Linked DNA regions of Daphnia pulex. The protein of the gene in region 1 interacts with the protein of each later gene in a pairwise test. Links are inferred from orthologs where the notes say so. Each region holds a gene or a part of one and is shown on either strand. Other genes may lie near its edges.

What was found.
Region 2: the proteins of uncharacterized protein LOC124203590 (region 1) and regulating synaptic membrane exocytosis protein 2-like interact in a two-hybrid assay, tested with the Drosophila melanogaster proteins (3 studies listed by BioGRID). The link is inferred for Daphnia pulex from reciprocal best matches to the Drosophila melanogaster genes Rbp and Rim.
Region 3: the proteins of uncharacterized protein LOC124203590 (region 1) and JNK-interacting protein 1-like interact in a two-hybrid assay, tested with the Drosophila melanogaster proteins (2 studies listed by BioGRID). The link is inferred for Daphnia pulex from reciprocal best matches to the Drosophila melanogaster genes Rbp and Aplip1.

The regions. Positions count from the first base shown.
Region 1 is NC_060026.1:13,159,262-13,162,913, reverse strand, and holds part of uncharacterized protein LOC124203590, read left to right. Parts: intron 1-180; coding exon 181-327; intron 328-401; coding exon 402-458; intron 459-632; coding exon 633-722; intron 723-975; coding exon 976-1,098; intron 1,099-1,182; coding exon 1,183-1,344; intron 1,345-1,411; coding exon 1,412-1,607; intron 1,608-1,682; coding exon 1,683-1,793; intron 1,794-1,857; coding exon 1,858-2,049; intron 2,050-2,671; coding exon 2,672-2,971; intron 2,972-3,652.
Region 2 is NC_060020.1:6,667,384-6,671,035, forward strand, and holds part of regulating synaptic membrane exocytosis protein 2-like, read left to right. Parts: intron 1-2,589; coding exon 2,590-2,923; intron 2,924-3,078; coding exon 3,079-3,592; intron 3,593-3,652.
Region 3 is NC_060024.1:10,403,193-10,407,283, reverse strand, and holds JNK-interacting protein 1-like, read left to right. Parts: upstream 1-1,421; 5' UTR 1,422-1,656; coding exon 1,657-1,739; intron 1,740-1,846; coding exon 1,847-2,121; intron 2,122-2,191; coding exon 2,192-2,320; intron 2,321-2,392; coding exon 2,393-2,488; intron 2,489-2,551; coding exon 2,552-2,994; intron 2,995-3,073; coding exon 3,074-3,252; intron 3,253-3,322; coding exon 3,323-3,395; 3' UTR 3,396-3,500; downstream 3,501-4,091. Other genes in the region: uncharacterized protein LOC124200172, read right to left, coding at 3,806-4,079. UniProt on the Drosophila melanogaster protein: The JNK-interacting protein (JIP) group of scaffold proteins selectively mediates JNK signaling by aggregating specific components of the MAPK cascade to form a functional JNK signaling module.

The DNA.
Region 1 (3,652 bases):
ATGATGTTTTTGGCTGGAATGCCGTTGGCTCTTTCGATATTTAGGGGGGTGGGGGAAGAGGCGATGTGTCATGTGGCCGGGCAAAAGTATTGAGCAATGAGAGGAAAAAAGGATTGGCTATATAGGAGCCAACAGTAGTCAATAGAATTTGATTTTTATTTGATTTTTCTGGCCGTCCAGGGATTGCAGCGAAGTGCCGAGCTTGACGTGACCCGCTACTCGGCCTTGGAGGCGACCAACGTCCAGCTCCGGCGGCAGGTGGAACAGCTGGAACTCTTGTGCAAGGAACAGGCCGAAGCGGCCCAGCAGCTCAGCAAAAGGCAACAGGTTAATTTTGATTAAATTTTATTTGATTTCGACCATCAGAAAAATTTTTAAAAAATGAAATTTGATTCGTCTAGGATCGAGAAGTGCTGGCCGAGCGACTTAAAGCCAAAACAGAGTACAGTCAAGACTTGGTAAGGACTCGGCTGTCCAGTCACACACATCAGCGGCTTAGACTGCGTGTGTGTCCATCCAGCCAGTAGAGAGAGAGAGAGAGTTTAAAATAATAACTTGGGCAAGAGTCCGGCTTAAAACCCTAAAATATTTTGTCTGTTTCGTGTGTGTCTGTGTGTGTGTCCGGTCGACAGGAGAATCAGCTGAGCAAAGTTATCGACAAGAACGCCGAATTGACCATTGAGAATTGTGACCTGAAGAAACAAGCCCAGGAGCTGCACCAGGTAAATATATAATAACACCCTGTACGACTACTGTGTGTGTGTGTGTCCGTTTCTATATGTATCGATTATTCCCTTTTTTTTTACCCGGTGATTTAACTTTTGTCTTGAAATTAATTTTGATTTCAAGCAGCTGGAATTGACGAGTCGATCGATGTGTGGGTTGAAATATTTGTTTTTTTTTTTCAAATTGCCCAGCACCACAATTTTTAATCGATGAATTTGTTTATATTTGCAATTGATTTGATAAAAACAGTTTGAAACGGAATGCCAGACGCTTCGTAGCTCGTTGAACACGGTGGAAAGCCAGTGCCAGGCGGCCCAGAGCGAAGTTGCCCAGCTCAAGGAGAAGATGGCCGGCCTGGATCATGTCCTCAGGGTGAGTTTTCTGGATGATTTTATTTTTGCAAAATTTTTTAAAATTAATTTTGACATTTTTATTTTAATATTTGTGGCCGGGCAGCAAATGAGAGAAGCGGCCGAGAAGAAAAAGGAATTGGAAAAACAACATGGAGAGTCGGTCAATGAGTTGCGGACGGCCCAGGCCCAGCTGGGATTGCTGGCCAGCAACAAGAACACGGAAGTGGAGCGGGCACAACATTCTCAGAACATCGAGTCGCTTCAGGTTTGCCCGTTTTTGTCTTGCCCAGCACCTACCACCCTCGATTCTCATTTTATAAATTTCCAAACAGTCGAGGATTCGCGAGCTGGAAAGGAAAATGGAATTGCAGAACGTGAGACACGATGAATTGTTGCTGGAACTGGCGGCCTTGAGACGGAACCAGCACCACCACCACAGCAACAGCAGCGGAGCTGGAAGCAGCCACCACGGCAGCAGTCAGTCACTAGGAGCCACATTCGATTTAGATTCAAGGGGATCCAGCCCAGGTACCCAAAAATTACAATTTTTATTTTATTTATTTGCCCAGCAGGTTGAATAATAATTGTATTTAATATCAACAGATTCACTGAGGTATTTAGCCAATGGTGCTGGATCGGTGACACGGACAACCCCTCTGGGACAGAGTGCCTCCAATTTAGACGCTCTCCTCGAAATGGACTTGGCCGTCTCGAGTAAAATTTTTATTTCCATTTTTTATCTTTTCTATTTAATTGAATTGGTGGGTTCAATTGTTAGATTACAACCTGGGCAAGAGCCTTTCGCAGCCGGTGGTTTCGACGTCTTCCATGTCGAAACTGACGGGCATCAACAGTGGCGGATCGTCCAGCAGCAGTAGCCATCACCACAGCGACATCGAGCGGATCATGGCCAAAATCGAGCAGGATAACCGAGTGCTGGCCGAGCTGGAAAAATCGCGCGCCACAATCAGTAAGTTCCGCCCGACACACATTTATCACCACTTTATTATTAATGTTAACAACACACAAAAGGATATATTCATTGCCGGCCAGGATCTTTTTTGTCTATTTTGTTATTTTTCTCTTTCTTTATCCAAATTATTAACATCATCATCTTCTTCTTCTTTCTGCACTCCTGTCGTGAGTTTCCCTCCTCCTCCCCCCTATTTTTCTGATTATTTTCATTTCAACATTTCCGGCTCCTGTGCTGCTGGCCGGTTTTTATTATCAACTCTCCCCCAGAAGAAGAAGAAGAAGAAAATCTTTTTTTTTTCTGTCTGCCGCACTAATCCGTTGAATTGTCGAGGACCTTGTGTGGCTCCGCCCATCCGTCGTTGACTAATTGATTTTTCCCAGTGCCCGGGCGAGGAAAGGAGTGGGAAGGGGGTAGGAGGGTAGGGATGGGAACGTGTAGTGGAGCAGCAAAAAGAGGATCGGATCTACCGGGATTGAAGTCCGTTTTTTGTAGGAAGAAGAAGAAGATGATGATGAAATGTTTTAAAAATGGGTTAGCTGGGCAGCTGGGCAAATGCTGGGCATTTTGGTTCTGGGTTGTTGATAGCCTGGTCTGTGTGTGTCCCGTGTGCCAAAAGCAGTGTCTCAGGAGAAGGGCAAAACGGTGACGTTTGCCAGCGATGACATGGTCCTGCACTACGGCGGCCAGAACCGGCACAGGCGCAAATCGACGCCGGCCAGCCTCAACCGGACGCCTTTACTCCACCACCACCACCAACAGCAACACCAAATGATCCAACAACAACCCCAATATCATCAGCCTTCTGCAACTGCACTTCTACTGCAACAACAACAACATCATCATTTACGCTTTTCTCCGCCCGTCTCTGCCCATCTCAGGCATTGGCTAGCGCCGGGCATTGAAACGAGTAAGAAGAGTAAGTTGAGAGTGATTGCTGGCCCACCTCTGCTCCCCCCGAAACAAAAAAATTAAAAAACCTAAAAAAAAATTGTTGCTGGCCTGCCCGCGCTGTATAGAAAGTAGGCTCTCCTCAATGACGGCCCGCACAACAAAACAAAACTCATCAAAAATACTTTCACCAAAAACACACACCACCCCACCTGCTCCCACACACACCAAAAAAAATTGACGGACAGCATGGCTGGATTTTTTGCTGGACAGACGAAACAAAAAAAAAAATATTTTTAGAGAGTAGTTGGGACAACCACAAAAAAAGACGAAAATATTTTAAAATCCAGCGGACTTATTAAAAATACCCAATTTTATTTTATCATCACATTATTTTAATTTTTTTTTGCTAATTAATTAATTTTGAGTGTCTTTCTGTGTGTGTGTGTGTGTGTTTGTTCCGGTCACGATCACGCCCCTCTTGATCCAGCCAAAAAAAAAGAAAAAAAAAAAACCTGCCGTAGACATTTGGTTGTTTCCGCAGTTGCCGGAAAATAATAAAAACAAAATTATTTTATATTTTTATCTTTTTCCCCAAACAATCGATCGATCTTTTTTTTTTCTTTTCCTTCCTGCACTGCACTGCTGCTGCTGTTGCCCAGCTAAAAAATAGAAAAAACAAAGTTTTTGCGGAGAAGAAGAAGCCGGC
Region 2 (3,652 bases), on another chromosome or scaffold:
GGATGGAAGGAGGGAGGATGTTTGGCATTTGCATATCGAGACGATACATCTGTGCAAAAGGGTAGAAATTCAGAAGAAAAAAGGCAAAAAGAAGAAGAAGAGCACGCCATCAAATCTCTTTTTACTTGGGATTTCTGGTCTATATAACCAGCAGCTTCAAGCAAACCCCACTTTTACCTCGCCCGTCACACAAAACCCTCCTCCTCCTCCTTCCATCCGCCGTACTGAAAGAGGCAACCGACCGACGTCAAACACAACAAACAGAGCAGCCATCGTCGAGCTACTACTACTGGGAGGGGGCTCAACACAGCACACAGTCTAGGGTAGTAGAGAGATAGTCTAGATGAATACGTTTATCTGAGCAGGGAGTAGGAAAAAGGGGGCCGAGAAGCAGCACGGAATCATCGAGCTCAAGTGAAGCAAGAAAAAGGCATCAGCAGCAACAACAAAAACAAGGGACGGGGGGGAAACAACAACAAACGAAAAACAAAACAAGAGTTCGTCCGTCCGTCTCTATTTATATATTATATACATAGACCCAGAACCGAGCGAAACAAATGCTGATGGATGGTGTTTGGCCTACGAATTGACTTGCATGTCGATGTGTGTATATTCAGTACTACATCTAGACAACGCTTGCGTCATATAGACTTGGGCTCTTCTTATTATTATTCTGATTCTATCACTGCTTGTATATTTATATTCGCCTTTATTTCCTAGACATACAACACGGAGGAGCCGGCTTCTCCTGCTGGCTCCTGGCCTTTTTTTTTATTCTTTATGTATACATAGATTCTTCCATCTTTTTTTTTTTAGCTTCTTCTTCTTTTCTCTGTGTTGGCGACTTGTCTTTCGATATCAATAGACATCAATTGATATGATGTGCTGTGCTATATGATTACCATCTTTTTCTTATTCCCCTCTCGTCCTGGGCTTTTCCAGTTGCTCCTTTTTTGTTTCGGTGTTGTTCGCTTCCGATTCCTAGCTAGAACTTCCTCCGCTGCTTCCACTTTGCACACACACACATAGATACAGAGAGACGTATAGCCTGGCCTCCCGTATCGAGGGCATCATCCAATCCCACACACATTGACACACACACACATCGCAAGAACATGGAGATGTTTGGGTATACTATATACTGCTGTTGCCTAGTAGAGTCGTGCATTGTAGACGCAAAGCCAAAAGAAAAGGAAGGAAGGAAAGAGCTGCTGCTGCTGCTCGACCGGCCCAGCAGCGGCGGCGGCGGCCTTCCATTTTTGGCTTCATCATCATCTCTCTTTTCTCTTATATAGACCCCCCCATCCCATCCCAACCCCCGCCACCCGTCCGACGCTTTATTATATTGGGTCTTGTTTTGTCCGCCGCACACGGAATGCCTTCTACTCTATGTCTATGCACGTCCGATCCGTCTATACACTTAGATCCCTATCCCGAAACCTCATTCGATAACAACAACAATAAAACAAACAAACCCCCCCACCCAAAAAAAAAAAATTACAGAAACAAAAAACGCCAGACACACAAAAAAAAGGAAGGAGAAAGAAATCGAGAAGAAGAAGAAGATCTTTTTATACATGTGCGCCACTATATCACGATACAAAGACTCTCGTTATTGAGCAGTCTGTGCATCGTTTCTTCGTTTAACCCAATGTGATATTTATTCCATCACGGTTGGCAGATATATACTTTGCTGGCCTTGCTGGATTGCTGTTGTCGACAAGTTCCGCCCACCCCCAAAAAAATGATTCGAGATTTTTCTGTTGGAAAATTTTCTTTTTCATTTAAAAACTGCAATTCTTTTCTTTTTTTTGGGGGGGGGGGCGACAGTAATTTGCACAACAACAGTTACAACAACAACAACGAGCAGTATTGAATTGATGGGCCGGAGATTAGATTTTGGGTGTCTTCTGTACCGTGCTGATGCAACCTAACGTGATATAGTGGGCACATGGATTCTTGGCTCAGTGATCACGCTTGCCATTTTCTGCGCGGGAGGGGCCAACAATTCCTTCGTCTTCTTCTTCTTCTTCTTGTGCCATTTCTCCATCAACGATTTTTTGGGATCATTCCCCCTATCCACACATTTTCGGTGGTTGATCGCCTCCGTCTAGATCGAACTCGCCTCGGGTACGTCCGTGGCATTCCACGTTCGATGATCCGTCGATGACGGATGGCGCTGCAACGCAACCGACGTCCATCCGCATTGGCATTAGCACTCGTGTGATCTTCACATTTCTCTTTTGTTTTTTGTTTTTTGTTTTTTGTTTTTTTTTTCTACTCTTCTCTCTCTTCCGATTTTGGCTCCTTTTTAATTTGTTTGTTTCTTTGCAGTTGGGTTAGACTGGGGCTTCCATTTTCATTCCGCTTCATTTTCTCTTATTCTCTCTCGTCTTGAATTTTTCTACTTTTTTGTTCATTTCGGTTTCTTTGTCACTTCTTTGTTTTGTTTGGTTATATTTCTGATGATGATGGGATGTGAACATTTGTTGTGTTTTTCTTTGTCCTTGGCTGACTTGCGATGATTGAACTGTGTCTGGTCTTTCGTGTTTGATCTCGGTGACAACAACAACCAACAACCAACAACAGCATCAGCTGCAAAAGCAACAGCATCCGCCGGCGCCTCAACAGCAGCATCCAGTCACGTGGCAGCCCAACAGCGACGGTACCAAAATGATTGGCCGGATGATATTGACCAAAAACATGGCCGGAATTGGAGTCGGCTCCCTTGGAGGCGGTGGCGGGGGAGGTGGTGGTCCGTCAGGCGTTTCGGGCATCGGCGGCTCCAGCAATCCGTCATCGGCCTCCATTCTCGGCCTCAAGGTCGTAGGTGGCAAGCGAGTCGACAACGGCCGCTTGGCCGCTATCGTCGAGAAGGTCAAACGGGGCAGCGTCGCCGACACCATCGGACACTTGCGGCCGGGTAAAACTTTTTTCTTTTTCCCTTTTCTCTTTTCTCTTTTCTTTTCATTCATTCAATTTGACAAGTGTGAACGAGTGTTGTGTTGAGGAAGACCAGCGACACCAGCGACGGGCAACAATGCAATGACGTGTTCTATTGTCCGCGCTTGTATTTAGGTGACGAGGTGCTGGAGTGGAACGGCTACCCGCTGCAAGGGCGGACATTTGAGGAAGTCTATGACATCATCTGCGAGTCACGTTCCGACCACGAAGTGGAGATCATTGTCAGTCGGCCCATCAGCGATGTCGGACGGCCGAGTTCAATGGGAGCACAGTCGGGCGGATCAGCCGGGCCCGGTGGTGGCCATCTAAGTCACCATCATTCCGGCTACGGCTCGGCGTCGGGCTCGTTAGCGGGCGTCGGTGGCGGCGGCGGGGCCGGCAGCACACGCAGCGGCGGCAGTAAAGTCAGCAGTAACACTCAGAGGGACCGGCCGGCTGTCACCGTCACGTCGCCCGCCTCGCCTGACACTCTCCACCCGTCTTGGGGCAAAGTCCAGGTGAAATTGTGGTACGATGCATCGATCCAGCAACTGTCGGCCACGATCGTTGGCGGATTCGATCTTCCGCCGCGCCCAAACGGCGCCCTGCGCAATCCTTACGCCAAACTCTTCCTACTGCCTGATAAAAGGTATTAACCCCCCGCGCGAGCTCAAAAGCCGCCTAGCTCTTCTTCTTCTTCCTCTTGGTC
Region 3 (4,091 bases), on another chromosome or scaffold:
TATAGTAATAATGATCATTACGCGCTATTGTTATGACGAGATACTATACGTCATCTGCGAGCTTGAATAAAAAGTTTAGATTTCTTTTTCAAAAAGGTGAACAATAGTCGTCTTTTGAACATCACTGACTACTATAGCAGTCCAGGTTGGTTGAACAAGCGGCGTCATCTTATATGCACATTTGTCGACGTAGTTATACCGAAAAAAGAATTGCCAGAAGCTTCTCTCGAATTGATTACTATTCAACAGTCAGTTGGTTCAGTAATCAGATGGATATTGCAATTCTCTAGAGTGGCTCTTGACGATCTGGCGCTTTTCGCCTTGATGGCTGCTGCTGCTGCTGGGCATCGAATGGATTTATCTATCTCCAGGCCCTATATAGACACAGCGTCGACCTACTGGTGGGGGAGAGAGAAAGTGGATGGGAAGAAAGAAAAAATAAAAACGATTCCATAATCAGCGTCCCGACGCTCAGAATCGTTTATAATGTATCAACATCTATTCATTCTCCCCAACGGCCAGAGTGCTGGATGAACCTTCCGGTCGAATGCATTGGCGCTCTTGTATAAACAAACGCCAGATAACAAAAGGTTAAAAGAAATCAAAGAATATTACACTTATTTGGGTGCCGTTTGTTGAATCTATTTCAATTCCGATCGTTTTATACATATTCCCAATCGCTGAGAAGTGATTGAAAACTTTCTGGGTCCCAAAGCCCAGTGCTGCTGACGTACAGTATTATCTATTCCGCGTTTTCTTTATTTTATATTTTTACAATTCCTCCGCGCAGCAGCGCATTCCATCATCTGATTAAGGTCGCCGATATATCGACGATATGGGCGGACAGAACGTATCCGCTGGAAGGAAAAAAAGAAAAATTGGCCGCGTGATCTACGATGTGTGGTTTGGTGACAGTTAAAAGAAATCCCATCCGTTATTACATAGGACTCTGGCCATTCCACCTACACGCACGCAAAAAAAAAGCTCAGATTATATTCGTGTATTGCGTGATATAGCCGACGAAGATTATCATCTGGAAACGATGTTAAGTCGTGCCAACGTTTAAGTATTTCTCACTTTGGCGCTGCGCAGTGGCCTATACGCCCACACGCTGATTGAATTAAAACGTAGATACTAATCGGCGACGACGTTAGTGACGGAGTGTTTTGCTTAGATGCCCATTCCTTAGATTAATCGACCCGCGTCGTGCGTGTTGAGTTTTTATCAAAAACACACAGGAGGAGGAACATAAATTGACTTGAAAAAGAAATTTGGGAAAAAATCAATATCTCCATGGTCTCGGGACACATTTCTTTTCTGGCTCACGCTATGGCATCCTGCTGGAACACCAACCACCCCGTGAGCATGCGCAATCCGGGGGACTAACTCGGCAGCAGCCACACCTCTTTCTACATACTCCCGTTGGCACGTATAGAGGATCCGGCACGATCCAGCACCCCAAAGTCGGCCGTATATGTATACGCATCGGAAACTTATTCGGTCGAGACTTTGCTCAGTAAATAGCCGAATTCTGTAGTAACGAGTAGTAGTTGTTAATATACACACCCCCAGCTGCAGGCTGCATCCAGGCCGCTCATTATTATTATTTGCCGAATTCAGTTCTTCAGCTGCTGTTTTTGGTTGTAACCGAAAATCATGGCCGATTCCGAGTTTGAAGAGTTTCGTCTGCATTTCGATCGATTACCTCAGCACATACGAGCGTCAGCCAAGTGCTACACGTAAGTCGTTGTCATCATTTGACTTGGCTGTTTCATTGATTATGTTAGACTAGCGGGGTGGGGTTTTAGTATATTATCATATCGTTTTGTTTTGCATATTTATGCAGTTTGGTTCACGACATCACGCCCTGTGACGATTTGCCGAATTTCGAGGGCTTACTCTCATCGTGTGCCACCGAGTTTCCGTTTGCCAAACGGGAATCGACGATCGTTGAAGAGGGAAGCACCGGAATTGTCCAAACTTCCGTTGGGACGACAGAAAATGTACCAGTAGCTCCTCATCCAGAAGATGGGGCTGCCAACGATCCTGTCAAGGAAATCAATCACAAGCCACTCGAAAGGAAAAGAAGAAAACTACCAGAAATCCCAAAAATTCATCAAAGTATACTATCAAAACATGTTTTATCGAAATAAAAAAAGAAAAGGATCAATATCTAATCAATTATACACAGAATTGGATTTCAAACGGACTCCATCACTCGCCGATGAGCTATCGCAATTGGATATCGGGTCGTCGTGCATTTCATTAGTATCCGAACACCGTCATCGCCAATTTTTCAAGCCTCACCTTCACTATCGAGGTACTATAATTATTTCCAATTGTCCAAATAACAAAACAATCATCCAAAGTTCCTTTTATTAAAAATAAACAGCAGGAGAACACAGTCCTTGTGAATCTGACGTTTGGCCAGGGACGGATGGCGATTCCGGACGAGACTCGACGGCTCATTCGCCAGAAGGCTCAAAAGGTTATTTTCCCCCCTATAATTAATTATTGAAATTGATAACGAATTGAATTTTAAAAATAACAGATACTGCGTCTTCGACGCCGAGCGCCGAATCACTCCCGGTGCTGACCGACGTCGAGGCTACACACCGCGGTCTGCACAAATTCACCGGCCGACACTCTGACGAGATAGACATCGACATCGGAGATCCTGTTTACGTCCAGCAGGAGGCCGACGATTGTTGGTGTGACGGGATCAACCTGCGAACTCAGCGTCGAGGAATCTTCCCAGCGGCTTACGTCGTCGACGTCGATTACGATTTCGATCCCGACGGACGGCGGGTCAACAAGGAGCGCTACGCCCTGGATTTTTTGGGATCAGTCGAAACGATGGTCAACAAAGGGGAGCAGGTGATCTGTTCGGCCGTTGAACGTATGCGCAAATCTCCCGTCACCCACCCGCAGCCTTGTTTTCTAGAAATCTCCGACCAGGGACTTCACGTCATGGACAAGTGCAAAGAAAATGACGTAAGAGTATTGTCTAGCTCTCTCTCTCTATTTCGTTTCAATTAATTTTAATTCACGGTTGGAAACACACACACGACAGATGGACCGATTCCCGTGTCACGATTACTTTTTCGCTTTGAAAAATGTCACGTTCTGCGGGTTTCATCCGAGTGAGCAGCACTACCTCGGCTTCATCACCAAACATCCGACTGAAGAGCGGTTCGCCTGTCATGTCTTTCAGGGTAACGGCTCAACTCGTCACGTAGCAGAAGCTATCGGGTATTAAACATAGAAACGATTATTAATTTTCTATTATTCAAAATGTAAAAATGATATCATTTGGCTGTAGGAGAGCGTTTCAACGGTTCTGTCGTAAATTCATCGAGTTGGCCTACCCGATTCACGAGTTCTACATGGAGTAATTTATTCATCTCAGCACTTTTGATAATCGTTATTATATTTACATTCCCCCATACTTCCTCTAAACTCTCACATCTCTCCTTGTGATAAACGGAGTCGCATATTTCTTCTCGTCTTTTCTAGAGTGCTTCATTTCACAAGCTGCTCATTCAACGTGAATTAATTAAATACCAATACAGTCACGACGAATGGTAGAAAACTGGTATAACCGAAATTTATTGAAACCATTTCCACGGGCGAATAATACTGAAATCAAATTCAGGGACATCTACTTCGAAAGAGAATGCAAATTTTTTCTTAAAACAAAACGAAAATGCAATGGAAAAAAAAAGAAAGAAAAAGAAACACAATGGGAAATGGGACAGAACTGGAAGATTATGCTTTGAATTTTGGGTTCCACAATTAATTAGATTCAGAGATCAGTGGTTAAGGCGTTGTTTTTACGCACAACGGCCTTGCTTCTGGTGGCAGGCGAAAGTTCATCCAGTTGGCCGACGTACAAAACTTGTTCGTTTAAAGTGACCATCCCCTTTTTGGGTCTCATTGAGCGCCTGACTGGAGTGGCGACCAATTGATATGGGCACTCGCTGGCTACTGATACTCTGTTGGAAGCCGTATTGAATTTCATCGGGGTCTTCGTCGCTTTCTTCTTGAGGCTAGGAGTATTGTTCTCTTGTTGTTTTTGACTAAACGTTCAA